Linked DNA regions of Caenorhabditis elegans. The protein of the gene in region 1 purifies or fractionates together with the protein of each later gene. This does not show direct contact. Each region holds a gene or a part of one and is shown on either strand. Other genes may lie near its edges.

Region 1 (5,139 bases):
AAGGATGTACATATAAGACATGTGATCTGTGCCAAGAACAACATTTTGTTCTAGTACGATCAGTTATCATTACAGTTTCGCTGGTTTTATATATGAAACACGTGTCGAAGTATTGTGTTATCATACGAATCAGAGCAAATTGATGTTTGTGTGCCGAACATTAAAACTGTCCAAAGAGTCCGGAGATCAGATGAGCACAGTTTCTGATACAAACATATAGGAATTCACAAAGAAAGTGTGCGTAGGCAATTGTTTAAGACTACAATGTACTTGGGGAGAATTTAGATTTTCTCTGAATTTAGAAGATTTGACACAAATCTCAACGGTGATAGTTACTGTCACATATATGTTATTCACTTACTTGGTCAAGTTAACTTAACCAAAATATAGAAAAAAGTCAAACGCCAAACTCTTTGTGCACTGTGGTTTCTGGATGAGTTTTTTGGTTTTTGAAACTTTTCCAAATTTTGGTTTTATGTTTTGGAATATTCGGAACAATTTTGGTGTTTTGGAATTTTCGAAGTATTGCATTTTTGAAATTCAAAATGTTCGAATTTTTAGGAAATTTTTAATTATTGGCAAAAAAGTGATCAAAACAAAAGTGATCCTGAAATTAGTACACTTTTTCACGGAAATCTGAAAGATCAATTTTTGTGTTAAAATATTTCAGATTTCAGATAGGTTTCAGATTTAAAGGTTTCAGATTATATACTTTCCGCTGCCAGCTATCGTAATATCGCGAAAATTTTACACATCCGTTTAAAGGGACGTACCTAGGTACTGCCATTTTTTCGAATTGGTCTCACCAGGATTTTTGCAATACATTTTTTAATATAAACCAGGATTTGTGTATTATGAAAAATTTAGCACCTAATGTCACGTTTCCGGTTTCCGTGAACTGACCATATCAATTGTCACGTTGTTTAAACAACAATTGTTTTGGTTATCTTCCAAAGTGAGGTAGACTTTTACGTTTGGTTCGCTGAAAATTACTAGGTATTGATTGGAAGTTGTTTTGTCCTCAATTATTATACTTTCATGATTTCGTAAAAATATTTTTGTGTGAACAGGTGGAGAGCATGGTCAATGAGTTAGTTACGTATTCCCGTTTTGTTATTTTAGCTGCTTTCTCTTGTCATAAAAATTCCTATTTACATCAGAATTTAATTCTAACTGTCTTCCCATTTTTACTATTTTGAATACAATTAATTTTTCGATATCTTCCCGAACTATCTTTTCTAACTTGATATTTTTTATCGAACATGAATTGTATTTAAAAACTGATCAAAATAGATAAGACCAACAGAAATGCAAAACAGATGTATTTATTAACATTTCCTAGATATTTACTGTATACAAAAGTTTCCAAACCGACAGGAGTATATTCGTCAAATCAGATATTCTTAAATTCTTAGACTGAACTTTTAAAAATCTATTTTCTGATTTTATTGTTTATTTGCACTTTTCTTTTTCAGTTGTCTACCAACTGTCCATAGACACCACGTGACATCTAAACATTTCTGAATTGAAACGGCCCTCATAGTGAAAACGTGACCGGGACAGGTGATCGACGAGAGAGTATAGTTTTGTGTGGGTGCCAACAAGATGCGCAGAGTCGCTTGCTGGCGCGTTCTTCGTGACACGAGAAGCGCGTTAAGTGGTGTGCACATGAAAATTGTCGTCGTGTCTCCTAAATTTTGTGCCAAGTGGCAGATTCTCTTGTTTTTGGTTGTTTTCTTCTATTTTTCGTCGAATCCTGTTGTTTTCCAACGTCAGTTGACTGAAAAAATTAAGATAGATCTGCCAAAAACTTTTGTTTGACTGAAAATTTAAGATTTAACGTAAAAAATCTGCTATTTGTTTGTTTTCTCATTTTCTTCGTTTCATTTGCTGATTATCTGAACTAAATCGTTGCATAATTAAGTTCCAGGTATACGTTTTCCTTATTGGACAAACGTTCTCCTTGAATTTGGCCCCTTCGCTACACCATGTCAACTTCGGGAAGCGGTGGTGGTAACACCCCCGATCTTTCGAAGGAAAACGTGGCAAGTAGCCCCAATGCCAACCCCAAGAAGAATGCTGACACCGAGTCATCTGGTGGAAGCAAGGTAGTTTATAATTCTTTTTGATAGTTTTAATAAAAAGATTTTTTCAGAACAATCGCCAAAGAAGACGCTCAAACACGAAAGGTGATGGTTCAAACTCCAGAAATGGCAGTAGAACAAATAGTGTGAGCAACTCGAAGAATCAATCCAATCGTAAGGACTGGACAGACAGAAAAAGCTTCAGTCAAGGTGGTATCAACGTCAAGTCCAAATCGCCTGGCGATGATCACAAAAGAACAAGAAGCTCCAATTGTGAGTTTTTTAACGTTGGCAATATTTAACTTGTATTTTACAGCTCAATCTGCCAAGAGGAATGCGCGCGACTCCACAAGAACTATGTCACAAGCCAGCAATGGAGAAGGACTCGATTATAGTGACGAATGTATGATTTTTTAATATCCATGATCTAGTTTTATTTTCAAAAATTGCAGACGAGCTTGATGAGCCATTCTCGGATTCTGATGATGAGGATTCACGACCAAAGAAGCCAGAAAAGATGAGCTTGACTGTTGCTCGCGGACGCATTCGCACTCTGTCTGGAACTGTTCCAGTTGTTGGATATTCTCCACGCTGGGGAGGTCCGACTATGTGTGTAAGCTGTTTGGAATTCTTCGACCTGCCTGAGCAAATTTCTGGGTTTGCTGATCATCTTCTCAAGGAGCACAAAATAGTTGTCTCTGAGATGAATTTGATTGTTGACCCGAAACGTTACATCGAACATTGGCGTCAACGCTTCGCAAAAGAGAGCATTGATAAGATCTTCCCAAGAATTGAGCCAAGCGAAGGCGATTCCTACTTCGGAGAGACCGACTACTACTATCTGATGTCGGAAAATGTTGCTGAAGATCGTTCACTCCGACAACGACTTGCTATGCGCCGACTTGAAGAAGCATTGCAATGTCAACAACGTGAGCGTGAAGATACTTCCTTCCAGCTCCAATGTATCTTCTGTCGCTACAATGCTCGTGGAAATCGCTCGAAAATCATCCATCATTTATATATGATTCACCATCTCAACCTTGGATCTCCTGACAACTTGGTATTCGTTACCGAGTATATCGAGCATTTGAAGGAGAAGCTTCACCGCAATGAATGTATCTACTGCGAAAAAATCTTCCCAGATCGTAACACTCTCATGGATCATATGCGTAAGAGAAACCATCGCGAGGTCAATCCAAAGAATCATTACTACGACAAGTTTTACATCATCAACTACCTTGAACTCGGCAAACGATGGCTCGACGTGCTCGCCGAGGACTTCGAAGATACCATGCCCACGTTCCAAGATTCTGACGAAGAAGAGGAAGAGTGAGATTTTTAGTTTCCATAAATGTTGTTTTATGATTTTTTTTTTTCAGCAATGAGTGGTGTGAATGGCAGGAAGACAATCTCGATGCCGATGAAACTCGCGTTGTCTGCCTTCTCTGTGATGCTAGCGAAGACAACGCTCAATCGCTCCTCGAACACATGAAGACTACTCACGAATTTGATCTTTTGAAGAATGTTAGCGATGACAAGTTGAACAGTTACCAACGTCTTCGCTTGATCAATTACATTCGTAAGCAGAACTATCATGCAGATTGCTGGGTTTGTCAGAAGACTGAGTTCGAAAACCCTCTCGCTCTTCAAAAGCATATTCTCGAACATAAGCCATTGAGTGTAAGTCCTTTGTAAAATTTAAACTTGATTTCAAAAAAGAATATTCTTACAGCACCTTCCGGATGCTTCAATTTGGGATACCGAGGAAAATCTAGTTCCGATCTTCGGAAATGATCACTTCCTGTGGATGCTTGAATCGATCCTTGAAGAAAACGAAATCACTTGCAGCAGCGACGATGAAGGAGAGAGTGAGGAGCGTTTCTCTAAACTCGTCCTTGAGAGCAAAAGTAATACTGTTGAAGGAGTAAGTAATATTCTTTGAGATTTTGCCTGTAATTAGCTTTTCAGGTTATCGCCGAAGACCTTCCAGAGCTATCTGAACTCAACGAGGATGACCTCAACGCTCTCATGTAATTTGACATAACTACCTCATCTCAGCTCGCACGAACAATTTCAATTACCTATTCGTTATACATAGTACATTCGGATATCAATCAATAGTTCCCTAGTTTTGTTTGATTATCCTTCGTGTTTTGACAATCTTTATTATAATCTTTCTCTTTTCGGCTGTAATTTTCAAATGATTCCAGTAGTGGTCCTTTGACTGCTTCATCTTTTCTATTAATCAACCTATCAATCATTAGATTGTTGTTGTTTTCCGTTTTCCTCGCCATGTTTCCTAGTGTATGCTGGGAAATATTGCACGTTGTTTTTTGTACTCTTGTTTCAAAGTAAGTTTCCCCTTCCAACTTTCTCTCATCTCCTTTCATGCTTTTTTTAATGAGAATCTGGAACAGTTGGATCAAGTACATTCACTACGCCCCCTTCCCAACTTTAACATATCCCCTTTAAATGACCCCTTTTCACGATGATCCACTGTTCCCATGTATGTTTCTGACAGCCCGGTACAAATCGGTCAGTTTAGTTCGTACGTTGTTAACCTGAATAAAGCTTTCTCATGGTAAAATGATTTAGGCAGTGCCAATGAAATGTAGATATTCGTCAGGTTGTACTTTGTGGGAGTTGAGAAATAACTTTTCAAACAATGAGTTCTTCAAGAAGATTCTTGGAATCGATTGGAAATTGAAATGAAACTATCAGAATGTCCAAAACGATGATTCTACAGTTGTTGCGAACAGCGACTAGCCGCCAACTTTTACGATGTTCGCAAGGTTAATGGATGAATATTGGGTAGAACATAGTTAGAAATGTGAAAAAATTGCAGTTCAGACCACAACAACATTCTGGCGAATTCAAACTCAACAATTCGCATCTGAAGGAAAACGTGGAAGGCGAAAGTTTGTGGAAGCCGCCGTCGTGAAGAGTACGAAAAGTACAAAACAAACTGTCGATGTTTGGAAGCAAATGAATCCTTCGTAAGGAAACTCGAAATGTATAGTCGAATGCGGCCGCAATAAATAATATTTTCCTCGCA
Region 2 (3,193 bases), on another chromosome or scaffold:
AACATTTAGCATTCCTTTTTCGAAAGTCACGTGGTGGAAGATGTAATTCAATTATCTTTTTACCAATCATCATCCACCAAAAAAGTTATGATATGGCCTGATTTCAATTTTTTTCCCAAAACACTAAAGGTCAGTAGTTGATTCTCTGACTTCTAATTGCTCTTTGAATTTGAGGAAGCTCGTGTCTGTCAGCTGCTTGAAAATATTCTTCTTTCCTGACTTTTAACAAAGATTTAATTTACAATCAACAAGACCTTTCAAATTTACAACTCCGTTGCAAAAACCGGTTCAGGTGATAAAGATAGCGTCTTTGATAGATTGTTTTTATGTTTTGTTATGTGATTTTTACGTAACAACAACATTAAAAACCAAAAACCTTACTTGGATCATATTTTAGTGACATATCGACGAAGTGCTTCGAGTCTGGAAACATGTGTGAATCTTGTACAGTTTGAAGAATTGGTCCATTGCAATAGATTTGTCTAGAAAAAAAACCATTTTTCAAGAATATTTCAAAGGAAACTTACGCTAGGAGGTTGATTACAGTGTAGAGCATAATTTCCTATAGGGGATGAAGAGTACAGAGAATGTTAATGACAAGGCATTCGGTCAGACACTAATTCGAATTTGTGGGCGGAAAAATTGGCAAAATATCGTTGATTTTTCTTCTTTCTTCTCTGATGTCAGCCGAGTGCCCTCAACGTCTCGTGTCTCACAAAATGAAAAATAAATCAACAAAACATGAAAGTGTGCGGCGCCACTGCAAAAGTGCGTGCCGCAGAGTTGCAATTGGGCGGGGACTTTGGTCCCGCAGCGAAACAACTAGCAAAAATGTGTGCTCCTTTAAACGCCGCCCGCCGCTTTTTACTTGATTGTTGTGCCACGTTGCTCTTTTTAAGCTTTTTAAATATTAATATTGTTATTTTTAAAGGATTTATACTTTGCGGGACATTTATATTCGTTAAATACAGGTCATGAAAGACATTTCTCTTTTATTATACTAGCAAAAATAAAAGTCTGAATGCTTTAAATTTTATTTTTTCATGAACATGTTTCAAGATAACTAGGTTGCATTTTCTAATTCAAAATTTATGTTTTTTCGCTCCTTTCTAATATATTTTATCTTATTGTTCTGTTGTATCTCAAAGATATTAAATTAATTACAGAATGGCGGCTCAAGTAGTTCCAGTTCTCTCGAAACTGTTCGATGACTACCAAAAGACAACATCATCGAAGCTGAAAATCATTGATGCTTACATGACATACATCCTGTTCACCGGAATCTTTCAATTCATTTATTGCTTGCTCGTCGGTACATTCCCATTCAACTCGTTCCTCTCTGGTTTCATCTCCACTGTCACTTCGTTCGTTTTAGCATGTGAGTTGTTTATTCAAAAAATTTGGGTTCAAGTATATTGGCAACATGAGTATTGTTTTCAGTAATAAAAGGTTAAAACGGTGATCTTTGTTTTCCTAAAAAGGGTTTCTGGGTTTCTTAATAGATTTGCGCTGATTTAAAATGTTTGGTACTTAAGCGAAATAAAGTAAATATAAATTGTATGTTCATTTGAGTTTCGGATGGACTGCAATTTTCACATCGTATCATAAACATTGGAAATTCCAATGGGCCCCCGCTTCAGCCCTCAAATGAATTGATAATAAATAAATGTATTTTTAAGCAATTAATTCTAAACGTTAATATTTTGTTTTAGCGTGTCTCAGGATGCAAGTAAATCAAGAGAACCGCTCCGAGTTCACAGCTGTCTCGACAGAACGTGCATTTGCTGATTTCATCTTCGCAAACCTCATTCTCCATCTTGTCGTCGTCAACTTCTTGGGATAAACTCTGAAAAGCTTTAATATGTATTTATTTGTTTCAATTCCTTCCATTAATTTATTTGTGTTGCAAAATGCCACCTGGGGTTTCGTTTCTCTTGCTGTGTTACACCTAATTTAATAAAATATGTTTCTGTTTTAATTAGAAGTTTTTAGTATTCAAGAAGAAAACTGCGTTATTGTCGCAAATTACTTTTGATGTGCACATTCTCATCCAGCTGAACAATTATAAACTAATCAGGTTGAATCATGCTGTACATGAAGCCAGCTCGTTTCGTGAAGAACGCCTTCACCAACCCTAATTAGTAAGTTAAATACTAAAAACGAAGAAGTTTAAGCATAGATTGTTTATTGAAAATACTTGCCACCGCAAAAACACAAGTTTTTAACTTCATTCCGATCTTTCACATCTAAATACAAATTGTAAAATACAAAAAGCAGCCCGCTGTGGTTTAATTACCTAGTCTTCTGCGAACACTCGCAATTTATTTGTTTTGAGTGTTTATAATAATTTAAACATTTTCACAATGAACGTGGATTCGGTTAGGATGTTCTATGATTTTCTTCCAGCTTCAAGTCGTATGGAGCATACGGAGGATCCGCTTTCCTTTTGGCCATCTACTTCTGTGAATGGAAAACCGTCGGACAGTACATCCCACTCTGGAACAAGCGTTACGTCGAATAGATTAAATCCTCAACACCTATTCCGATCGTTGATTGACTTTTTTAGAATTATGAAGATGTTTATCTTCTAGAATCTTTTTGCTCGGATAAACTTTCTATTATTGGCCTCTTTTTCGTTGAAAAATAGTTTATGCACAGTCGCTTAGCGCCGGGATTTCGAAATTGTTGTGACTCATAGCGAGCCACTGAGCAGAGATAGTAATTCAGAAGAGAGACGCCGACGACTAAACTTGTTTTCGCTGTTGTTGTGTGGTCTCTTGCATGTTTTTTTACTCGTGCCGTTTTTTCTCATTCGAATCACTTGTTTCAGTCAAATTTTCAGCAATGTTCTCGATATTTATGAGAATTCCTGATACTGCTCAGGTTGATGCAGTATTTTCTGGAGCATATGCATCAATTGAACAGGGATTATGCTACGATGAGGTTAATGATTGGGTATGTTTATTATTTTGAATGAAAACTTTGAAAATAATTGTTTTTTTAAGGAAAATACTCTCGCAATGTACGAAAAAGGATTGAATTTGATCGTCGAAGGAGAGAAAATGAAAAATGCGAGGAAAAGTGAAATGTGGAAAATGTTACAAGAATCAAAATCAAGTGTCCAGCATAGGTGAGTGATTTTGAATTAAAAACGTTGATAAAACCGCGAAAAAGTACCTTTAAAGTTCACATT

The links.
Region 2: the proteins of ztf-7 (region 1) and ucr-11 fractionate together in Caenorhabditis elegans (co-fractionation; one large-scale study listed by BioGRID). This does not show direct contact.

Annotation. Positions count from the first base shown.
Region 1 is NC_003283.11:9,786,493-9,791,631, reverse strand, and holds ztf-7 (Zinc finger protein ztf-7), read left to right. Parts: upstream 1-1,924; 5' UTR 1,925-1,988; coding exon 1,989-2,108; intron 2,109-2,155; coding exon 2,156-2,357; intron 2,358-2,400; coding exon 2,401-2,487; intron 2,488-2,536; coding exon 2,537-3,413; intron 3,414-3,463; coding exon 3,464-3,764; intron 3,765-3,816; coding exon 3,817-4,008; intron 4,009-4,052; coding exon 4,053-4,118; 3' UTR 4,119-4,639; downstream 4,640-5,139. Other genes in the region: lipl-2 (Lipase), read right to left, coding at 1-44; F46B6.6 (Tr-type G domain-containing protein), read left to right, coding at 4,807-4,876, 4,930-5,080. UniProt on the Caenorhabditis elegans protein: Probable transcription factor. Limits the ability to tolerate cold environment or cold-warm stress. In complex with rps-2, mediates the cold-warm shock response by promoting translocation of components of the RNA exosome from the nucleolus to nucleoplasm.
Region 2 is NC_003279.8:6,552,264-6,555,456, reverse strand, and holds ucr-11 (Cytochrome b-c1 complex subunit 10), read left to right. Parts: upstream 1-2,077; 5' UTR 2,078-2,085; coding exon 2,086-2,141; intron 2,142-2,406; coding exon 2,407-2,521; 3' UTR 2,522-2,623; downstream 2,624-3,193. Other genes in the region: tre-1 (Trehalase), read right to left, coding at 382-482, 528-556; Dolichyl-diphosphooligosaccharide--protein glycosyltransferase subunit dad-1, read left to right, coding at 1,168-1,378, 1,713-1,843; spg-20 (Inheritance of peroxisomes protein 1), read left to right, coding at 2,845-2,955, 3,006-3,130.